Rattus norvegicus: one gene and its partner. The protein of the gene in region 2 interacts with the protein of the main gene of each other region in a pairwise test. Links are inferred from orthologs where the notes say so. Each region holds a gene or a part of one and is shown on either strand. Other genes may lie near its edges.

Region 1 (9,227 bases), on a different chromosome or scaffold from region 2:
CACTCTATTTGACATGCCAGCTTCATCAATCTTAACTAGTTTCAGTGGCCCTTTTTGGTTGGGAGACTTAAGAACTGCTTCTATTTCTTTTGGAGTTATAGGGTTGTTTAGATGGCTTATTTGTTCCCATTTCCTCCTGATTTTCCAGTATAGGCTTTTGTAATAGGATCTGATTTTTTTCCCTCAGATTCTGTTATGTCTCCTAGGGGTAAGGGTTTATCTAGGATTTTGTTTTATATTCTGTTTTACATAGTGTTTGTTTCTTAATCTTTTGGGGTTTCCCACTCTTCAAGAGCTATTCCTCTTCTGGCTACATTTTAAGTTTACATTTAGATTTTGTGAATACTTTTCATCCCTACCTAAAGTAGGTTGAAAGTGTCCAGTTAGTAAGGATGCAGGCCAGATAAGCTACACTGATTTGGGATAGTGTGCATACTTTTGGGTGAAATGGGCTGTTCACCTGCATCCTGTGAGAGTTTTCAGCCTGACATATGCTTATTGTGAATATTTAAATTGTGGACAGTTTCTAAAAGTCATTGAAAGTCTACATTCACCTTCTAAATTAAACTAGAGTAAAAATTGAACAAAAACCCAGGCAGGCCAAGGACAGGAGTTAACCTAAGAGCTTTTCATGACAGGGTGTGACACTCCTGCACAGACACACACAATGGAATGCAGATAGGCAGATGTGTATGAGTTCCATATAAGCATTATGCAGGACAGTTCCTCACTTTCACTTGTTAAAACAGGAAACAGAAACTGGTTATGGCATAATGGAAGAACCAGATCTCACTCTATTGAGTACGAGTGACATCAGCATCACTGACACAGATCTTGCAAACTTAACCATTGAAGACAATGAAGCACAGTGTTCTCAGGTAAATGCCTTCACCAGAGCTGCTAGACCAGGCTGTTCATGGGGCTGCTGATGCTGGGAGGAAAACAAGCCAATAACTTTCTTACTAATAGGCAGGTGCAGTGCAGCCTTCGTCTTCAGTGGAAACCACCTTTTGTGGAGCTGCATCAGAGCCTTGGGCGGACCAACCCACAGTGGCATCTTCAGGTACCTCCCTTATAAGCCTGATACAACATCCACTGATGATGAGGTGAAACCATGAATAACTTTTTTCAAATATTACAGCTATACCAGGTAGTTTGGGGGAAGCATTCATGAAAAGAAAAAAGACATTTATGGAACGATCCTACCAGAGACAGAGAGAGATCTGGAATAAAACTCCGCTCCCTCAAGCCAAAGTATCCAAAGAGAAGCTATCTACAAGTATGTTCTACTGTATGATCTACAGTAGAGATTTAAGTATTTAAGCTTAAGTATTTTTTAGACTCAACCCATTAATCACTGCTTTTCAGGTTCATCCTTGAGCCACCTGAAAGGTTAGTGTCAAGGAAGAAAGGCTACCTGAGCCCTCGTGTACCAAAAGGCTTTTTTTGCTTGCTTCTAGTGTTTTGCTACATGTGCCTATCTAATTACACAAATTTCTCTTACAGAGGCTGTTAGTGGAGATGAAACAGCAAAGAGAAACAGGAGCCAGTGTATATAAGTATGAAGACAAGCTGTTTTTCTACAGAAAGCACAAGTCAAGCCAAAAATACATACTGACTTCCTACAAATTGTGTTAAGGGTTCTTTTTTAATGTATAAAATTATTTATTGTCAATAAATTTTTATTTAAGTGGTTGGTTTGATTTCTTTGCTGTCCATCCAGGCACTCTGAAAATAGCCCTAAAAGAGACAAAATGAAATTAATGATAAATTGTGATTCAGGGAAATGCATGTTATCTTCTCAGAAAAACAGCACTATCACAAAGTGCATGGTCTGCTCTGTGAAGAACATCAATCTTTGGTCACAGCGTTAAGAGCTTTTGGTTTTACAGCCACCAAGCCCTCTTTGAAATGACCTTCGCTACCCGCTTCCCATACACATACCTTTCCTCAAGGGCATCCAGTTGTGCTTTTTATTTTTAGCCCTGCATAATAAGAACATGGGAGTAATGGGATGAGTAGTCAGTATTCTAGAACCATCTACATATAAAGTAACAACTGGATAAAGATTTGCTCAAAAAATGTTCCCAACAGGTTAAGTGCTACTCAAGTAGCATATGGAAAACCTAATGGGAATTTTTCTTTATGGTCATGTCCACAGCAAATGAGAAACTGCATTCTAAAAGCCTTGGTAATGACCATTGTAAAAATAAATGGCTATTACTTGCCTCTTTTATCTGTCTTTTCCAACAGTCATTGGCAACTTCTAAGTTCTTAGCCTGTGGGAGAAAATATGTTTCAAAGAATTAAAATTTTTAATTCTACATGATGCCAGATTCAAAGAATATTCCCACAGTTTAGGGGAGTCAGTCAGCAGGTCTGCATACACAGAATCTATCTACCCAACACAGATGTTCAGAAAGGCTACTTTCATTCAGCCCATTCAGAGCAGTTGAACATTTTGCCCATCATCACAACATCATTTATGGTAGTACTGTTTTTTTCAAATCTTAGCAGTGAATTTCAGTATTATCATCTCACAAGGTTTCAAAGTCCACATCTTACCAGAAGATTTGTGGATTTCTTCAATTTACTTTAATTTAGGGACCCTTCTTCAATTAGCTTTAAAAACCTGTAAGATTGGTCATAAGAAAATATAAAATGAATTGACATGTCTTCACTGGAGGGTAGTAGACAAATGTTGCAGGTCTCATTGTCACCACTGTCATTTAATCTGCTGTGATGGAAGCATGACCTGTATCTTAATGTAGCCACATTGACACTGGACACTGGCCAACAACAATGCCCATTTTTATGTACAATGAGGCTTAGTTCTTGAGTCTCATACGTGTCATCTACTCAAGTAAAGACAGCTAGAAACAGAAAAATGTCTTACCATTTTAAGGTAGGTTTCCCTTGTGACGCCCTAGGAAGAAAAGGAATGGTTCACTCAGCAGGCAACCAAGTTTTAAAGACCAATTATTCCCCAGAACCCACATCCAGAAGAAATATGTACATATGAAATAAACTGTATCATTAGAAATACCAGGTTTAACATGCACAAAGCCAAGAAACCAACGATGCCAGATAATGAATTTCTATCGCACTGTCTTTTGAACACCCAACAGGAAAGAACTGCTGAGTGCAGATACCATGCAGTGCAAAGTCTCTATAGCACTCTCAATCCCTGTGCTAATAAAGAAGCTAACTTTTTAAATGTTAACATAAATTCACATTCTGAGGGGGCTAAAGGTGGACAGGAAATTTAGAGTTCCATCTCAGCCAAAATCCCCCACAAATGGAAAAAGTGCTCAAATCAAAAGATTTAATGTTCTTTGTACATACATTCATGCACACATACTGATGATTGATTACCTTCCTTGATCACACTATCCACCTTAGAGTTTCTCACTAAAGTCAGAACTTCCAGATTCAGCTACCGTATCTACCTGGTTGCTACGGTTTTGAACTATATATCCACTGTGCCATTTACCTAACCAAGAATTTTATTTTCTGAGAAGTTTCCCTGCTTCCCACATCAGACTCCTATAATTACAGGTGTGGAACTAGTACATGGTTTCTTTTAAAAAGAACTCAATATCCCTACTGAATGAGCATTTCTCTAATCATTTTAATCTGGAATCTAAAAGATGAACTAGCCTAGCACAAAGTACTTTTTTAAAAAAGATTTATTTATTTTATGTCTCTGAGTACACTGTCGCTGTCTTCAGACACACCAGATCCCCATTAACAGATGGTTGTGAGCCACCGTGTGGTTGCTAGAATTTGAACTCAGGACCTCTGGAAGAGCAGTCAGTGCTCCTAACCACTGAACCATCTCTCCAGCCCAAGAAAGTACTTCCTAGCTTGTACACACAGAGCAAATGTTCTTGCTGAGAACTTACACATTACCCCTGGAGATTTTTAATTTATCATATTAAAACCCAACAGAAATCTAGTTTTATACTTACTTACCAACATCTCTGTAGAGTCTTTCATGTCCATTCCTGGAGAACAGTACATATGACTTTATTAGAAACTACAGTTAAAGTTTACTCCAACCTAACACCTGTAACCAGTTCTGTCAGAATTAAATTTTAGTTCATGTCTGTATCATACAGCAGTTGAACAGTTTAATTCATCATCTGAACTGTAGCTATACTTCCCCAAAATTGCAGAGTCACTAAAACTCACCTAACACTCAGAATCCTAATCTTTATGAAGGAAATGCCAGTGCTTCTAGAAACAAAACCAAAATTGCACATCAGTTTTGTACTTTGTTAGCTGTCTTGTAGTTCCTTCCCACAGACCTAACAAACAGTCCTGCGAGTCAAGCAAAACCACAAGTTACTATATGAGGCGTTTCCAACGATGTGTGGCTACTAACGAAGCCCCATCGGGATAGACCTCAAAAGCATCCAACAATCATGAAGCTCTCTCTCCAGCTACCTTTTATGGACGTCTATTAATAGGAACTTAGGAAATCACAAAGTAATCTCAGGAGATTTGCCTAGCTTAAGCTTAAGGTTATACATTCTTACAGTCCGGAGCTCTCAAACTCACTTTTACTGTACAGGGATTTTAATCCAGCAACATGGTTACGCTGGCTGGAATACTGACATACCCTTAGCACATACATAACTAGAAACAACCCATGTTCAAAAGAAGTCTAATTGAGTGGCAGACAAAATGACAGATTTAAAGACAGGTGCAGAAAGAACAAGCTAGACACAGGTAAATACAGAATATGCCAAGAGAGAGGAGCCCAAAATATCAGAACAAATTGCAAGGTAGTTTGAGGCAGAAGTCAGACTAAATCAGTCACCTTGTTAGAGTATGAACCACAACAGCTTTGTTAAACCAGACAAAAATTCAGTAAGAACAAGAAAAGTGTGAGATTATTTATTCAGCAGTTAAGTCTCAGAGGCTGAAAACATTCTAGGCCTAAATCAGATTGTGCAGAGGCTAGAAGCTTCCAAGACTAGGCCTTCATTTAGCAAAAAGGCAGTAAGGCTCAGAGACAATTACATCAGGCAGATTAAAGATAATTTAAGTGCCAGCATAAAACTGAATTTTCATGAAGAGCCTTATGGGCAACCTGATTTTTTAGAATAGTACCTATTTTAGTTAACTCATACTTTTCAAACATTATTATTTGTGATGTTACAAATTTGTTATAATTTATAAACCATGCTTGAGAAAAGTTTATAATATTATAAATTGAGTATAAGACCTTATAGCCTTCTTTACTTATCTCAGTTCAAATTATTGATTCTAATGTTCTAGGATTTCCTAAGGATTGGAGTACTCTAAAACTTTCATAGAAATAGCATCACTTACTTCAAGCTAACATACTGTGAAGATGTAAATTGACATGCTACTTACAACACTGAAACAAACATCCATTCATGGGCATCTTTTAACTGACTTCAGAATGAAGGCAAGCCTTTAAAGAAAGGAATATTCATCTATCATTACCTTTATAGGATAAATCACACAGAACATTGCTAGAAACAGCCTCATCAGTAACACCGTTGTGCTTATATTCCTTCTTGTATGTATCAAAACTCATACTGAACAATGAGTTCTGGGTTGCAAAAGAGGATTTGTTTTTTGCACCTGTCAACCTGCCTTTGTCCAACAGCTGAACAAAAACAAACACAAGTGCTAGCCAACAAAGCTGTATGTATATACTGGCACAAGGCCAGTGTTACAAGGTAAGAACACTCTTGTAGATAGAATTGTGGTTCAGCTCACATCACCCCCACAATAGCTAATTACCATCCTGTAACTTGAGATCCACAGGCCATGGTGCATACTCCACACATATGCATGTAGGCAAAATACACAAATATGAAGTAATTCTTTTTTATAAGTTAGTTTGGGCTAAGCACTGAAGAGGCTGGAGTTCTTGAAACTAGCCACATATAGGATTTTTGTTAGCATTTTCCTTCCAGAAAAGTCGTACTTGCTGTAATAGAATAATCCCTATAGGAAGGATTTCTTACTCTGAAATCAGCACTGAAAAGAGCTTTCCCAAGTGTTTTGCTAGCTCCCCCCAGCAAGTTTATTTTCTTTCCCAGATTGTTCAGTGATTTTTGTTCCTTCATCTTCTTGACATACACAAGACAATCCCGTGCTCTTTACCTTCCTCGATACTCACATGTTCACCTCCTTTCCAGGACCTCCTGTTCCCTCTCTGTGTGGCATCCTTGGCTTTGCTCTTTTTAGAGAATGCAGATTCTTTCTTAATCTTTTCTTGTTCTAAGTTTCTCTTCCTTGGGAATTCTGTACTTATTATAAAGCAACTGTCTTCCTGCATTTAAAAGAAAAATTAGTAACTAAACTCACCACTGACTGTGGGTTAGTATAAATCTTTTTTTTTAAATTTATTATCTATTTATTATATACAGTGTAGGTGCTTTCAGAAGTGGGCATCAGTCCCATTACAGATGGTTGTGAGCCACCATGTGGTTGCTGGGACTTGAACTCAGGACCTCTGGAAGAGCAGTCAGTGCTCTTAACCCAGTACTGAGTCATCTTTCAGCCCACAAGTATAAATCTATTCCTCACTACACCAGCACTATTTTCTCATTTGACTGCACACCAGACTTGCTAAATGTTATTTTATCAGGAGCTAGAGATGGTTCAGTGGCTAAGCACACTGGATTTTCACAGGGCTAGAGAGATGCCTCAGCAGTTAAGTAAGAGCAGTGGCTGTTCTTTCAGGAGTCCTGCCTTCAATTCCCAACAACAACATGGTGGCTCATAACCATCTGTAATGTGACCTGGTGCCCTCTTCCATTAATCAGGTATACATTCAGATAGAACACTCACACTTATAAAAACAAAAATACAAAAATAATCCACAACATTGTCTTCTTTTCTTACTGCAAAGGACTAAGAAAATTCTATGCACCCACAATGTGCACCAAAATTCCAGTTTAAGGGATCCAACTGCACCTCTTCTAGCCTACCCAGACACCAACATACACCTGGTGAATTTTTAGTGTTAATATTGGAGCCAGGCACGGGCACCATTTTGTAAGCCAGTAATAGCAGAGCAAAAACTTTGCTATAGGTTAATCCACTAGGTTGTGGTCAAGAGGCCAGACCAAATTCTGGACTCCATAAATGTATACTCATACCAACATGCAGATACATACATACCCTATACACAAATATTCAAAGCTTGAGTTATAACTCAGCAGTATGCCTTGTCATTAATGCAGGCAAGGCTCTGAACCCCAATACTTGGAGCTAAGAGGAAGAGCCACAAAAACATAAAAAGCCCTCGGTACCAAATATCCTAAATAGTAAGCAGTTTCACTCTTAAAAGTTTAAATGAGGGGCTGGGGATTTAGCTCAGTGGTAGAGCGCTTGCCTAGGAAGCGCAAGGCCCTGGGTTCGGTCCCCAGCTCCGAAAAAAAGAACCAAAAAAAAAAAAAAAAAAAGTTTAAATGAAATTTCCAAATAGTATATAACTTCTACATTCCGTAAATGAGATAATAAAACTCGGCCACTTACAACCAACTTAATATCACATTCAGACTGAGGATCTGTTGCTTCATCTTCAGTTCTGTAACATGAAATGAAATGAGCCATTTAGTCATTAGTCACCTAGTATTCGGATATCGCTGAAACCAAAGAAAACCACTACCTTCCCAAACTGATGTCCTATGCACATACCTCAGAGTAAACAATCCTAAATTTACTAGAAGTTATGATTACTATTGCAGAATCTTATAAGATACTCATTTTATAGATGGCACTTGCCTTTAATCCCAGCACTCGGTACATGTGTGTTCAGCCCTAGCCAGCTATACAGTAGTGAGACTGTCTTTAAATGAGCTTAGAGAACTACAAGTTCCATGGACAAATCCAACTTACGACGGCTCTTCAATAGGAGAAAGCGGACCATCATCATCCATGTACTTGTGTCTACGGCTGTCAAAGTCTTCCTTTTCTAAATCTTCCCCAGCATGCATTTGGCTCAAGCATTCCTTAAGGTGGTGTTCATACTTGAGTTTTTCAATGTGGTGAAAAAATCCTCTTGCAACTGCTTGCTGCAAGTTAGAAAACACAATTCCTTAAATATTAAAACATCAAATACTTAATCAAGCTTGACACTATACCAAGGGGCTGGACAATGGCTTGCTGTTCATCAAAGGGACCAGATCTGAATGCACAGAAACCATGTAAATGCTCTGTGCATGACGGTTCCAGACTTGGGGAGTGAAGACAGTACATAGGAACAAGGTGAATAGGAAGATGCTATGTCTGCATGTGCACACACAAAGAAAAACGCAAAGCAGACACTAATTCAACCATTCTAATCATTTAACATTTAATGCTCAAACACCTGAAAAACCTGAGTAGCTGGCTACTTGGGTTTTCTCCCCTGCTCTTGTCCTAGTTAACCTAACTGTCAATTTGACACAGAATAACCTGAGAATGGATCCTCAACCAAGACACTGCTTTATTTTTGGATAGTGGTTGCCTAGATTGTGGGCATTACCATTACAAGCAAGGGCTCTAGGCTAACAGTACACATGAGCAGCAGCTTCCTTCATGGTCCTATTCTCCACCTTTCTTAGGTTCTTCAAAAACTGGGCCTTAAGAAGTGATTCCATACCTGCTCACCTTGTAATGTCACGTTTCACTACTGCTGAAAAAAAAGTTGGGTATGATATGCTTCAGTTGTTTGAAGGGACTCTGTATAAGGAAACTTGGAGTACAACTACCTTAATCTGTGTGACACTGATAAATAATGGTTGTGGTTATTTCTCTCACTAGTGATACAGGTGAGATGAAGAATGGAGCACTTTGCATAGATCTGTTCCAGGTGTCCCTCAGACAATTAAGAATGGCCAACAAGGGCTGGAGAGACGGTTCAGTGGTTAAGAGCACTGACTGCTCTTCCAGAGGTCCTGAGTTCAAATTCCAGCAACCACATGGTGGCTCACAACCATCTGAAATGGGGATCCTATGCCTTCTGGTGTCTGAAGACAGCTACAGTGTATTTATATATAATCAATCTTTTAAAAGAAAAAAGAATGACCAACAAACCATTCCATCCTACTTAATGTATTCACCTACATTAAAAAAAAAAATCACTCACCTCATATGTTAAAATTTTCTTCCAAGGTAAAGTCTTTCTTCCACTTTCAGATTCTAAGAATGGAAACACAGCTCCTTTGTCTTTAATTTGTTTTGCATCTATTTGT
Region 2 (9,936 bases):
ACAACCTGGAAGACAAAGAACAGATGCTCATTCTGGAGTGTGTGGAACAGTTTTGTACGTGACACTGTAATCCGGGGAAAGGGCGCTGTCCCAAGAGCTGATAGGAAGAACTCAGGGTTTGGGGTCTGGAGATGCAGTCCTGGCTCCGGCACTTTGCCGCTGTGTTAGCACGGCCAAATTCCTCGGCTTCTCTGAATCTTCATCTTTACAATGAGGACTGATAACCCCGGCCTGCTCTTCATCCCCTCAGGGTTTATGAGGGTCAGGAGAAGCATCACCGTTGAGCATGGAGATGCACTGCACGCATGTAATCTCAGGGAGGGTCAGGTGTTGACGACTCTGGAGGGAAGGGGATGGGCGGGGAGAGCAGGTACTGAGGAAGTAAGATCGATGCAGAAGCTGCGGAGGTCATCATTAAAGTCTGTCTATTATTTGGGACAGTACAAGCAGGGAGGGTGGACAGGACAGTGAGGGGGGAGCCAGGAGCTGTCAGAGCCTGGGCATTTAGGGCCGGGGCAGTTCACAGTCACACATTGGGTCTGAACACCAACTTGGCCTTTGTCAGCCTCTGAGGGCCTCAAGCCTACCTGCTGAGGTGCAGATTCACAGGGGCAGCATTTAGCTTATGGTCTCTGTATCTCATCTCCGTCCTTCCTTCCCCGCAAGCCACAGCTGGCCAGTCTCCGTGTCTCTAGCCCCTGACACCTCATAATGTATGATGGGGTCTCTCTGCCCATCCAGGTCCTTTTTCCCACAGCCAGGATGAGTTTTCTGAAGCCAAATCGGGCTCCATCACTAATGTGACTAAAATTCCAAAATGGCTTCCCATCGGTCCAAGGATAACTTCAACCAGCCCCTTCCCCCACCACTGTGATCTGGTCCCTGCTCACTGCCCTGCCCCACCACCTCACTGCCCATACTCTGTGTCTCTTTCTCTATGTGGTGGGGCTTACAGAGCCAGTGGCTCCTTCCAGGACCCCTCCCAGACTTTGCAGCACTGAGTTGGTCAATGCTCCACCTGTGAGACCCTTTCCTCTGCTCCTCCCTTGACACTGGCTTCATCGTACCTCATACTATTTGGAATTACGAGTTCCCCTGTTTCTACTATGCTGGAACTTGGTGTGGACAAGGATCAGGTCTTACCAAGACATCCCCCAGTCCCCTGCTCTGTTTCAATAAGTGGTTCTTGAAGAAGAAGACCTGGGGGAAGAAGGTCAAAGGCCCTCAGGACCCCTGAGGGGTGTCGGATCCGTGGCTTAGAGCCTCCGCTGATCTGTGCTTGTCCTGTAGCTGAAGCCAGCCAGCAGATGGCAGAGCTATCCGAGGTGTTGGTGCTGAGGCTGGAAGGCTATGAGAGGCAGCAGAAGGAGATCACTCAGCTGCAGGCCGAGATCACCAAGCTACAACAGCGTTGTCAGTCTGTAAGCTGCTCAGCCAGGCCCAAAGCCCTTCCCTGTGTAGGCATCAGAGCTGGCAGAGATAACCAGCGAGCTATTCATCCAGCCCAGTCATGTCCCTAACCAAGTCCACACAGAGAGACTCCTACACGCTCCCAAAACCAGGCTGCATGACCCCCCACTTTAAGACTCCCATCCCTGTGACTTCCTAGGGGGACTGTCAGAGACTCTGATGAGGGAAGACTGTTCGGGTAGGAGGTACCAGAGTGGGAGGCCTTGGGGCCATCTCACACTTTACGGTTTCTTCCAGTATGGGGCCCAGACGGAGAAACTGCAGCAGCAGCTGGCCTCAGAGAAGGGAGTCCACCCAGAGGTGAGGTTCCATGGTTCCCAGATCTGGAAGGCAGGTCCCTGGGGACTACTTGGCTCTCCAGAGAAGACAAGCAACTTCCAGGAAGAGCTTTTCTGCCTTCCACCCTCACTGGCCTATGGCCCAGCAGATATCTGCTTATTTGAGGCCTGAATGGGGTAGAGATCAGGATCTTGTCCAGGGTCACCCAGAATCGCACTGTTTGGGTCTGGAACTGGGGTCTTTGCCTGTGCCTAAAGCAAGGGCAAGCAGAGTACCTGACTGGAAACCCCTGATCCTGACAGAGCCTGCGAGCTGGCTCCCACATGCAGGATTATGGAAGCAGGCCTCGTGAACGCCAGGAGGATGGGAAGAGCCATCGTCAGCGTTCCTCAATGCCTGCAGGTTCTGTCACCCACTATGGATACAGTGTGCCTCTGGTGAGGGTGCTCTTTTACCTCAGTGTGTCCCGTGTTTCAGCCCTGCTTTTTCTGTGAGTGTGGGGGTGGAATGTGTCCCCTCTTTGCTGTAGGATGCACTTCCAAGTTTCCCAGAGACACTGGCGGAGGAGCTCCGGACATCCCTGAGGAAGTTCATCACTGACCCTGCGTATTTCATGGAGAGGTGAGGAACTGGGATCCTCAGGCTTGCTCTGTTCAGCCATGCTCACTTAGGTTCACCCAGTGCCAACCTTCTCTGAGTGGAACATGGTTGACACAAATGTTCGGACCTCCATTGCTTTTCCTGGCCTCCTTATCCTGCCTCACTCACACTACCTGGCTCTGGCTTTTTTCCTTCCTTCCTTCCTTCCTTCCTTCCTTCCTTCCTTCCTTCCTTCCCTCCTCTTCCTCCTCTTCCTCTTCCTCTTCATCCTCTTCCTCCTCCTCTTCCTCCTCCTCCTCTTCCTCCTCCTCTTCTTTTTTGAGATCGGGTTTCTCTGCGTAGCTCTGGCTGTCCTAGAACTCACTCTGTAGATCAGGCTGGCCCTGAACTTAGAGATCTGCTTTCCTCTGCCTTCCCAGGACTGGGGCCACCATGCCTGGCTCCCTGTGACTTTTCAATATGTTTATGCCCCAGGGAATTTGCAGTTTGAGCCCCCTTAGTACACCCAAGGTCCTGTTCTCCGTTTAGGATTTAGTGAGATGGTTATGGGGAAGACATCAGACCTGGGGTAACCTGACTAAGAGATTCCCGACATCTGTCTTCACAGCCACTTGTTGTGGGTTCTGTGTTTGGAAAACTCTGGGAAATCTGTGTTCTTGGGGGAGCTCATCTGCTCGGTATTTTGGTCACGGCTGTGCCCTCTCCCTTCAGGCCTCACCTTTTCTTCACCTTTCTTTTCTTCACCTGACTATGATCTGAGAGGTGAACAGCCCAGCCATTAAAATACCCGATACCCAATCCCCGTTTAGCTCCTTTGTGTCCTTTTGGGCAAGTCATTTGACCCATCCAAGCCTTACTATAATGGATTTATTTCTATGACAACTGCTCTGGGATGAAATATCCCAGTTGCTCGTCTCCAGACAGGGAAGTGGAGAAGAAGGAACCTCTTTGGTGTCCATAACCCTCATTCCTCCTGCTGGGGGCAGGCATGGCTGGGTTTTGGAAGTCTCAAAAATGATCCTCTCTCCCCTCACTCCTAGCTGGGGCAGCCGAGGGGGACTGTCAGGGTCTGTGGAGTAGAGTGGGGTGGCACGTGAGGAAAGACGTCACTGTCTCCTTGCCTAGATGTGACACTCGCTGCAGAGAGGAACGAAAGAAGGAGCAGGGGACAATGCCACCCCCACCGGTGCAAGATCTCAAGCCGCCTGAAGATTTCGAGGCTCCAGAGGAGCTGGTTCCTGAGGAGGAGCTGGGGGCCATAGAAGAGGTGGGGACAGCTGAGGATGGGCCGGCAGAAGAGACAGAGCAGGCATCTGAGGAGACCGAGGCCTGGGAGGAGGTGGAACCGGAGGTGGACGAGGCCACAAGGATGAATGTGGTGGTCTCTGCCCTGGAGGCCAGCGGCCTGGGCCCTTCACACCTGGACATGAAGTATGTCCTCCAGCAACTGTCCAACTGGCAGGACGCCCATTCTAAGCGGCAGCAGAAGCAGAAGGTGGTCCCGAAAGGTGAGTGTTCCCGCAGAGGACACCCTCCTGCCAGTGGGACAAGCTACCGATCATCAACCCTATGAGAGGTGAGAGTAGGTGAGACCCCCCACCCCCAAGGGCTCACTTACCTCACCTTGGTCCCACTCGGTGTGCTGATTTGCATGGACTTTGCATACTATTTGCATAGTATTTACATACTTGCCTCCAGTCCCCCTTGGCTAGAACTGCTGCCTCAGTGTTTATTTATGCAAAATTTGCTTACAAGTCCAGCTATCCATCCACCTTCTTCCTGGGGGGGCTGAACTGGGAATCAGGGTTGGACTATACACTCCTTTGTACCTCAACTTCCTGTCTCTGCCCATCCTCTCCCTATCCCCAATTCCTCTACCCTCAAGACTCCCCAGCCCCGCAGCAGCAAACAAACATGGGGGGCGGGATCGTGGAGCAGCAGCCCATAGTGCCGACCCAGGACTCTCAGAGGCTGGAGGAGGACAGGGCCACTCACTCTCCCAGTGCCAGGGAGGAAGAGGGGCCTTCTGGGGCCACCTAGGCCTGGAACGAAGGCCTCTGCCAGCAAAGGCCACAGTTGGACCAATCCCCCGGGTGAGTGTGGGGCTCCCGCAGGGTGGTAGGGGCGGGTCAGGGTCTCCTCTGCCTATCTGGAAACCCCAGTTCCTAGGAGATGCTGTCCGTGAAATCAGATGATTTAGCATTGGATCTCTTTCTGTGTTAGCTCCTTTCGTCTTCTGGCCCTGTGGGTGGGTGGATGTGATTGTGCACCATTTATTAGAAGAGGAATCTGAAGTTCAGAGATCTGAGATGACTTGGCCAAGGTCATACAGCTAGGAGCAGATCTGAGCCGGTGTCTCTTGAGGACTGAAACCCTGGCCTGGTCTCACTGCCGTCCACACCTCCTCCTGCTCCCGTCCTTGAGCTCCACCTGAAGCTTTGGCAGCCTCCCTCATGTCGGTCTGTTGCCATTTTTGGGGGGCACCAGTGAGTGGAACATCACTGGCTGCAGCACAGTCAGATCATGCAGGTTGTAAGCTGAGTCAGCACACCCGTGGCTGACCACGGGAGACCGGGAGACCTGAGTAACGGCTAGCGGTGGCTTTCTGTTGTCTCCTGACCCGGCTGACTGGGTTTGAGGGTGATCTGTCTCCCGGTTCACCCCCTTCTCTTCCTGGCTTTGCTGTTTCTCAGCAGCCTGAAGAAGACCCTCAGACAGCTCGAGACCCCTCCTTCCACTGCCTGGCCAAGTCCGACCCTTCCTTGCTTTCCTCTGAGACAGGACCCCCACCCCCATGTCTGTCAGCAGTTCTCCCTCTGTCTTGATAGATCTTTCCCCTCTTGTAGGACAGGCTGAAAGAACCCCAGTCCCTCATTCTGAAACTGGGGCCAAAGCTGTGCCTGCTGGAGCCCCAGGGGGTGGAAGCAACCTGTGGGTAGATTGGTTGGTTACCAGACCCAGCTCTGAGATGGTGTGGGTGCGCACATCCCTAGGGTAGGCAGTTATTGGGGGGACCCTTTCTATCCCTTGAACCTCTCACGTAAAGGGACTTCCCCAGTCCTGGTTGGCTTTTGGAACCTGGTCCTTCTTGCTGTTTTTTACCCTTCCCCGTTTCTATTACTGCGTGTAACGTAAAGTGTATCTGAGTGAGGGTGGTGGGAACCCTCTGTCCAGTGCTGTCTCTGTCTCCTATGGCCTGTGAGTTTCCTTCTAGAGTTCTACTCTTCTCCACCTCTTTGCTCATACAGAGCTGTGGCCTTGGCGCCTGCCCTGCTTCTGCAGTGCTTCATTGTCTCGTAGCTTGTCAGCTTTTGTATTGATGTATGTGCCAATGTGGGAAATAAAGACCTTGTGAGATACCTGCCCTGTCTCAGTTGTGTTCCTTAGGGAAGGCGATGTGTGTGCGTGCATGTGTGTGTGTGTGTGTGTGTGTGTGTCTGTGTATGAGTGTATGAGTGTGTATGCCTGTGTATGAGTGTGTGTGTATGAGTGTGTGTGTATGGGTGTCAGTGTGTGTGTATGAGTGTGTGTGCCTGTATATGAGTGTGTGTATGTGAGGGTGTGTATGAGTGTGTGTGAGTGTGTATGTATGTGTGCCTGTGTATGTGTATATGTGTGAGTATGTGTGCCAATGTGTGTGTGTGTGCCTGTGTATGTGTGTATGTGTGAGTATGTGTGCCAGTGTGTGTGTGTGTGCCTGTGTATGTGTGTATGTGTGAGTATGTGTGCCAGTGTGTGTGTGTGTGTATGTGTGTGTGTGTGTGTGTGTGTGTGTGTGTGTGTGTGTGTACTGTTTGGGAACAGAGCTGCGGAGAGAAGACTGATTGATATCGGTTGACATGCCAATGACTTTGTACTAAGTATAAATGCATGTAACCCATGACAGTGAGGTGCCAGATGATGTGATGTGAATTTGAAGGTGGTGAAACTGAGACTCAGGCAGGTTCAGTAATCAGGGGTTGAAGAGCTGGTGGTAGTGCTGAGTTGAGCCCAGTTTTTGAAGCTGACTAGGCTCTCTTTCCTGACCCATCTGCCTCTGTCCCCGTGCTCTAGTTTAACAGATAAACTGTGTGTGTGTGTGTGGGGGGGTGGGTGGGTGCCATCTGGCTTAGGTCAAACACCCTAAACCTGGAATAGGAATAAGCAGGTCACTTTGAAGACACTGCAGAAAATAGTCTTAGGTAGTGGATAAGTAACAAGAAGCTAACATGGAGAAGTTTGAGACAAGGAAGCCCAGTGGTCTACCTGCTATGCTAAGCTTTTAACTTACAAGATTTGGGGGTGATTCTTCATCTCTAAAGCATAATGATCCACTAAATGTTCTTTTAAAAAGCTTAGGGGGTTGGGGATTTAGCTCAGTGGGGTTGGGGATTTAGCTCAGTGGCAGAGCGCTTGCCTAGGAAGCGCAAGGCCCTGGGTTCGGTCCCCAGCTCCGAAAAAAAGAACCAAAAAAAAAAAAAAAAAAAAAAACTTAGATCAGTTAGTTGGTGTGTTCAGTATATCTCTAGGAATCCCCCAAATCTTAAAACAGTTGCAATGTTCCTCCGAGTCTGAGTGGTGATTACACCCTTAATCCCAGCACTTGGGCGTCAGAGGCAGGAGGATCTCTACGAGTTCAAGGTCAGACTGGTCTACCTAGTAAGTTCCAGGACGGCCAGGGCTACATAAGGCCTATCTCAAAAACCCAAACAAAAAAAGTTTAAGTTTAAACAGACCTGTGAGAGCCAAGGTGAGAGCCAAGGCAAGTCTCACCTACAAGTCTTGTAGGAAGGGAAGTTGTCTACTTGCAGTTTATAGCACTATGTGGTAAACACGCAGGGTTGCCTCCCCACTCCCACCCCCCTTCTTTTTGAAACTGTGGCTGACTTGGAACTCAATATGTAGACCAGGCTGGCCTCAAATCCACAAAGAGTTGATTGTCTTTGCCTCTCGAGTAGTGGGATAAAGGCATGTGCTCCCCCTCCCCCCAACCCATCCCTCCAACTGGCCTTACTTTAAGCTACTAGCTGGTTATAGCATCTTAAAGAAAAAAACTAGGAACAGTAGAACATAGCCGCAATTTCGGCTCTCAGAGGCAGAAATGGGTAGATCTGGAGTTCAAGGCTTGTTTGGGCTCTACAGCCAGACCTTATTATCTCAAGCAAAAAGCAGAGAGGTTGCCCAGCGGGTAGGAGTGTTTGCTGTGCAAGCCTGAATACCTGGAATTCCCAGCACCATGGAGACCAGGGGCTTTGCTGGGGCTTTGGGGCTATGAGTTTAGTTCAAGGTTGACTGAGAGGCTCTGTCTTTAGGCATAAGGCAGAGATTATGAAGCAGGACACTGATAGCCTTCTCTGGTCTCTGAGTGCATGGACGGATGCGTGCACCTGCATATACACACACGCACCACACATATACATACTAACACTCCCAAGAAAAGGACAACCAGACCCAATGTGTACTGTGACATGTATGTGTACATGTGTATACACACACGTGTATACATAAATAAATGTAATGACTTGTTGGGTATCGTGGTGAATGCCTTTAATCCCACCACTTGGGAGGCAGAGGCAGGTGGATCTTGAGGTGGAGGTCAGCCTGGTTTCCATAGCGGCAGGTTCTAAGTCAGCCAGAGCCATACTGTGAGACCTTGTCTCAAAAACAAACAAAACCAAAAACACAAACCAAGGGTAGCCAGAGGACAAATGGTATAGAATGGTATAGGTGGTGCTTGTCCATCCAGAACCCTAAATGATCCTTGTAATGCCTTCCCTCTATTGTTCTGCATTCTCCTCCCTGAGAGCCCTCCAGTGGTCCACCTTGTCTTCCTCATGGGACGGCCTGAATCTTCACTTCTGAGTAATCTGAACCTTGGTCCCACTGCCTTTGTCAGGCCAGGTCGTTCAAATTTCCTACTTATGTTTATTTTGTGACTGGAAACACAGAGCCTCTAGACATGACTCTTCTTGTCCTGAGGCGAGGCTTTCCCTCATGGAAAGCGGGGACAATGACCTGTAGGTTCTTAGTTCTTTCTAAACCCACTTTATTTAGGCTTCTAGAATGCTTCAATCCCCCTTCTAGCCCACTGACCAGAGAGGTAGGGAAGAAGAAGGCTTATAGGAATGGGAGTTGTGGAACCTGTTTAGACGTAGTTCTTTGGGGGCGTTTCCACTCTTTGTTGCCAGGGTAACAGCAGTCCAGTCCAATAGCAAACAGCAAACATGAATCAGTAGCAGCGGCTCGATCCAGCAGAAACTTCGAGGTTGTGCAGAGTCGGTATGAGTCAGCAGAGACGACAAGTATCAGTGGGAATACCGTGAGAAGTTCCTTGCTGCTTTTCTCTCTACAGAATGAAGGCCGGCAAAGACCAGGGAAGCGTTGCAAGGCATAACAGTGCAAGAGCATCCTTTCATGATCTGTGTGACTTCATGATCTTAGACTCTTTCAAACGTCTTGCACCCTCACAAGTGTCTGCTTCAGCCAAACGTCCTCTCCTGTGTCTGTTTCAGGAAAACATCCTCTCACTAGACAGCTTCCAGAAAAATGTCACATAACCTCTCACAAGACAGATCCCAGAGAAACATCCCGTGACACAACTGAGCTTCCAAAGAAACCAGAAATATCCATTTCAGTAACCTCTGATAGTCCCTAACCTTTCCTTTGTCCTGCAGATAGGAAGTCCCAAACATGGCCAAGAAGCAGCTGTGGTACTAGGGACCCAGGGCCTCACACGTACTTACAATGTGCCCAACCATAGAGCTACATCCCTAGTTCTAGTGTTGGGTTCAGGGTAGAATCCAAGAAAACTCACTTCAGATATGGAGGCTTAAAAATGGGAGCTTATTTTCTGAGCACTCAGGGAGGTGGCCAGTTGAGGATCTGAACTATGTCCCCGAGGGGAAGCTATATTGCATTTTCAAGAATGGGAACGCAAAGCCAGGAGGGAGCTGGGGGGAGCCTCAGTGTTATCCAATTGCATTTTGACAATATGGGTTAAGCAAGGGAGTACCTATTGGAGACTGGGCTGTATCCAGGGCACCTGGCTTCAAGGTCCTTAATTCATTGTCCTTGACATTAGCCTCAGAGCTCAGAGTGATACGGGGACAAAGGAGTGGGTCAGCTGTATGGAGTTAGGGCATAACAGGCGACTGGTTATGTATTTTTATAACTTATACACCTTAGTTTAGATAACAGCAATTTCTTTTTTTTTCTTTTTTCTTTTTTTTTTTTTTACTGGATAACAGCAGACAATTAAAACATTTGGAGAAGTGGGATAGGCATTTGTTCCTAGGACTGGGAACACAAACTTGTTTGACCCCACCAGCAAGATGGAGAAGTTGTCCCTGAGATAGCAGAACTCAGACAACTGTTCACACAGAAGCTATTCAGCTATTGGGAAGTCCCTAGCTTCCCTAGGGCCTGGGAGCTTGAATTTAGTTTCTGAAAATGAAATGGTAGTAATTACAATACTTAGAATAAATTTCTTTCTTTTTTTTCTTTTCTCTTTTTTTTTTTTTTTTTTGGAGCTGGGGACTGAACCCAGGGCCTTGCGCTTCCTAGGTAAGCGCTCTACCACTGAGCTAAATCCCCAGCCCCCACTATATC

What was found. The genes of interacting proteins can lie anywhere in the genome.
Region 1: the proteins of Hap1 (region 2) and Taf1d interact in a two-hybrid assay, tested with the Homo sapiens proteins (2 studies listed by BioGRID and IntAct). The link is inferred for Rattus norvegicus from reciprocal best matches to the Homo sapiens genes HAP1 and TAF1D.

Annotation. Positions count from the first base shown.
Region 1 is NC_086026.1:20,430,435-20,439,661, reverse strand, and holds the end of Taf1d (TATA box-binding protein-associated factor RNA polymerase I subunit D), read right to left. Parts: coding exon 9,122-9,227; intron 8,067-9,121; coding exon 7,891-8,066; intron 7,580-7,890; coding exon 7,528-7,579; intron 6,317-7,527; coding exon 6,164-6,316; coding exon of another isoform or gene 6,107-6,163; exon of another isoform or gene 5,469-6,106; intron 5,447-5,468; coding exon 5,420-5,446; 3' UTR 4,867-5,419; downstream 1-4,866. Other genes in the region: Cep295 (centrosomal protein of 295 kDa), read left to right, coding at 750-878, 970-1,063, 1,142-1,279, 1,369-1,392, 1,507-1,559. UniProt on the Homo sapiens protein: Component of the transcription factor SL1/TIF-IB complex, which is involved in the assembly of the PIC (preinitiation complex) during RNA polymerase I-dependent transcription.
Region 2 is NC_086028.1:85,774,042-85,783,977, reverse strand, and holds the end of Hap1 (huntingtin-associated protein 1), read left to right. Parts: coding exon 1-54; intron 55-1,290; coding exon 1,291-1,421; intron 1,422-1,707; coding exon 1,708-1,770; intron 1,771-2,051; coding exon 2,052-2,186; intron 2,187-2,278; coding exon 2,279-2,370; intron 2,371-3,474; coding exon 3,475-3,857; coding exon of another isoform or gene 3,858-3,922; exon of another isoform or gene 3,923-4,234; coding exon 4,235-4,389; 3' UTR 4,390-4,442; exon of another isoform or gene 4,443-4,572; 3' UTR 4,573-5,711; downstream 5,712-9,936. UniProt on the Homo sapiens protein: Originally identified as neuronal protein that specifically associates with HTT/huntingtin and the binding is enhanced by an expanded polyglutamine repeat within HTT possibly affecting HAP1 interaction properties.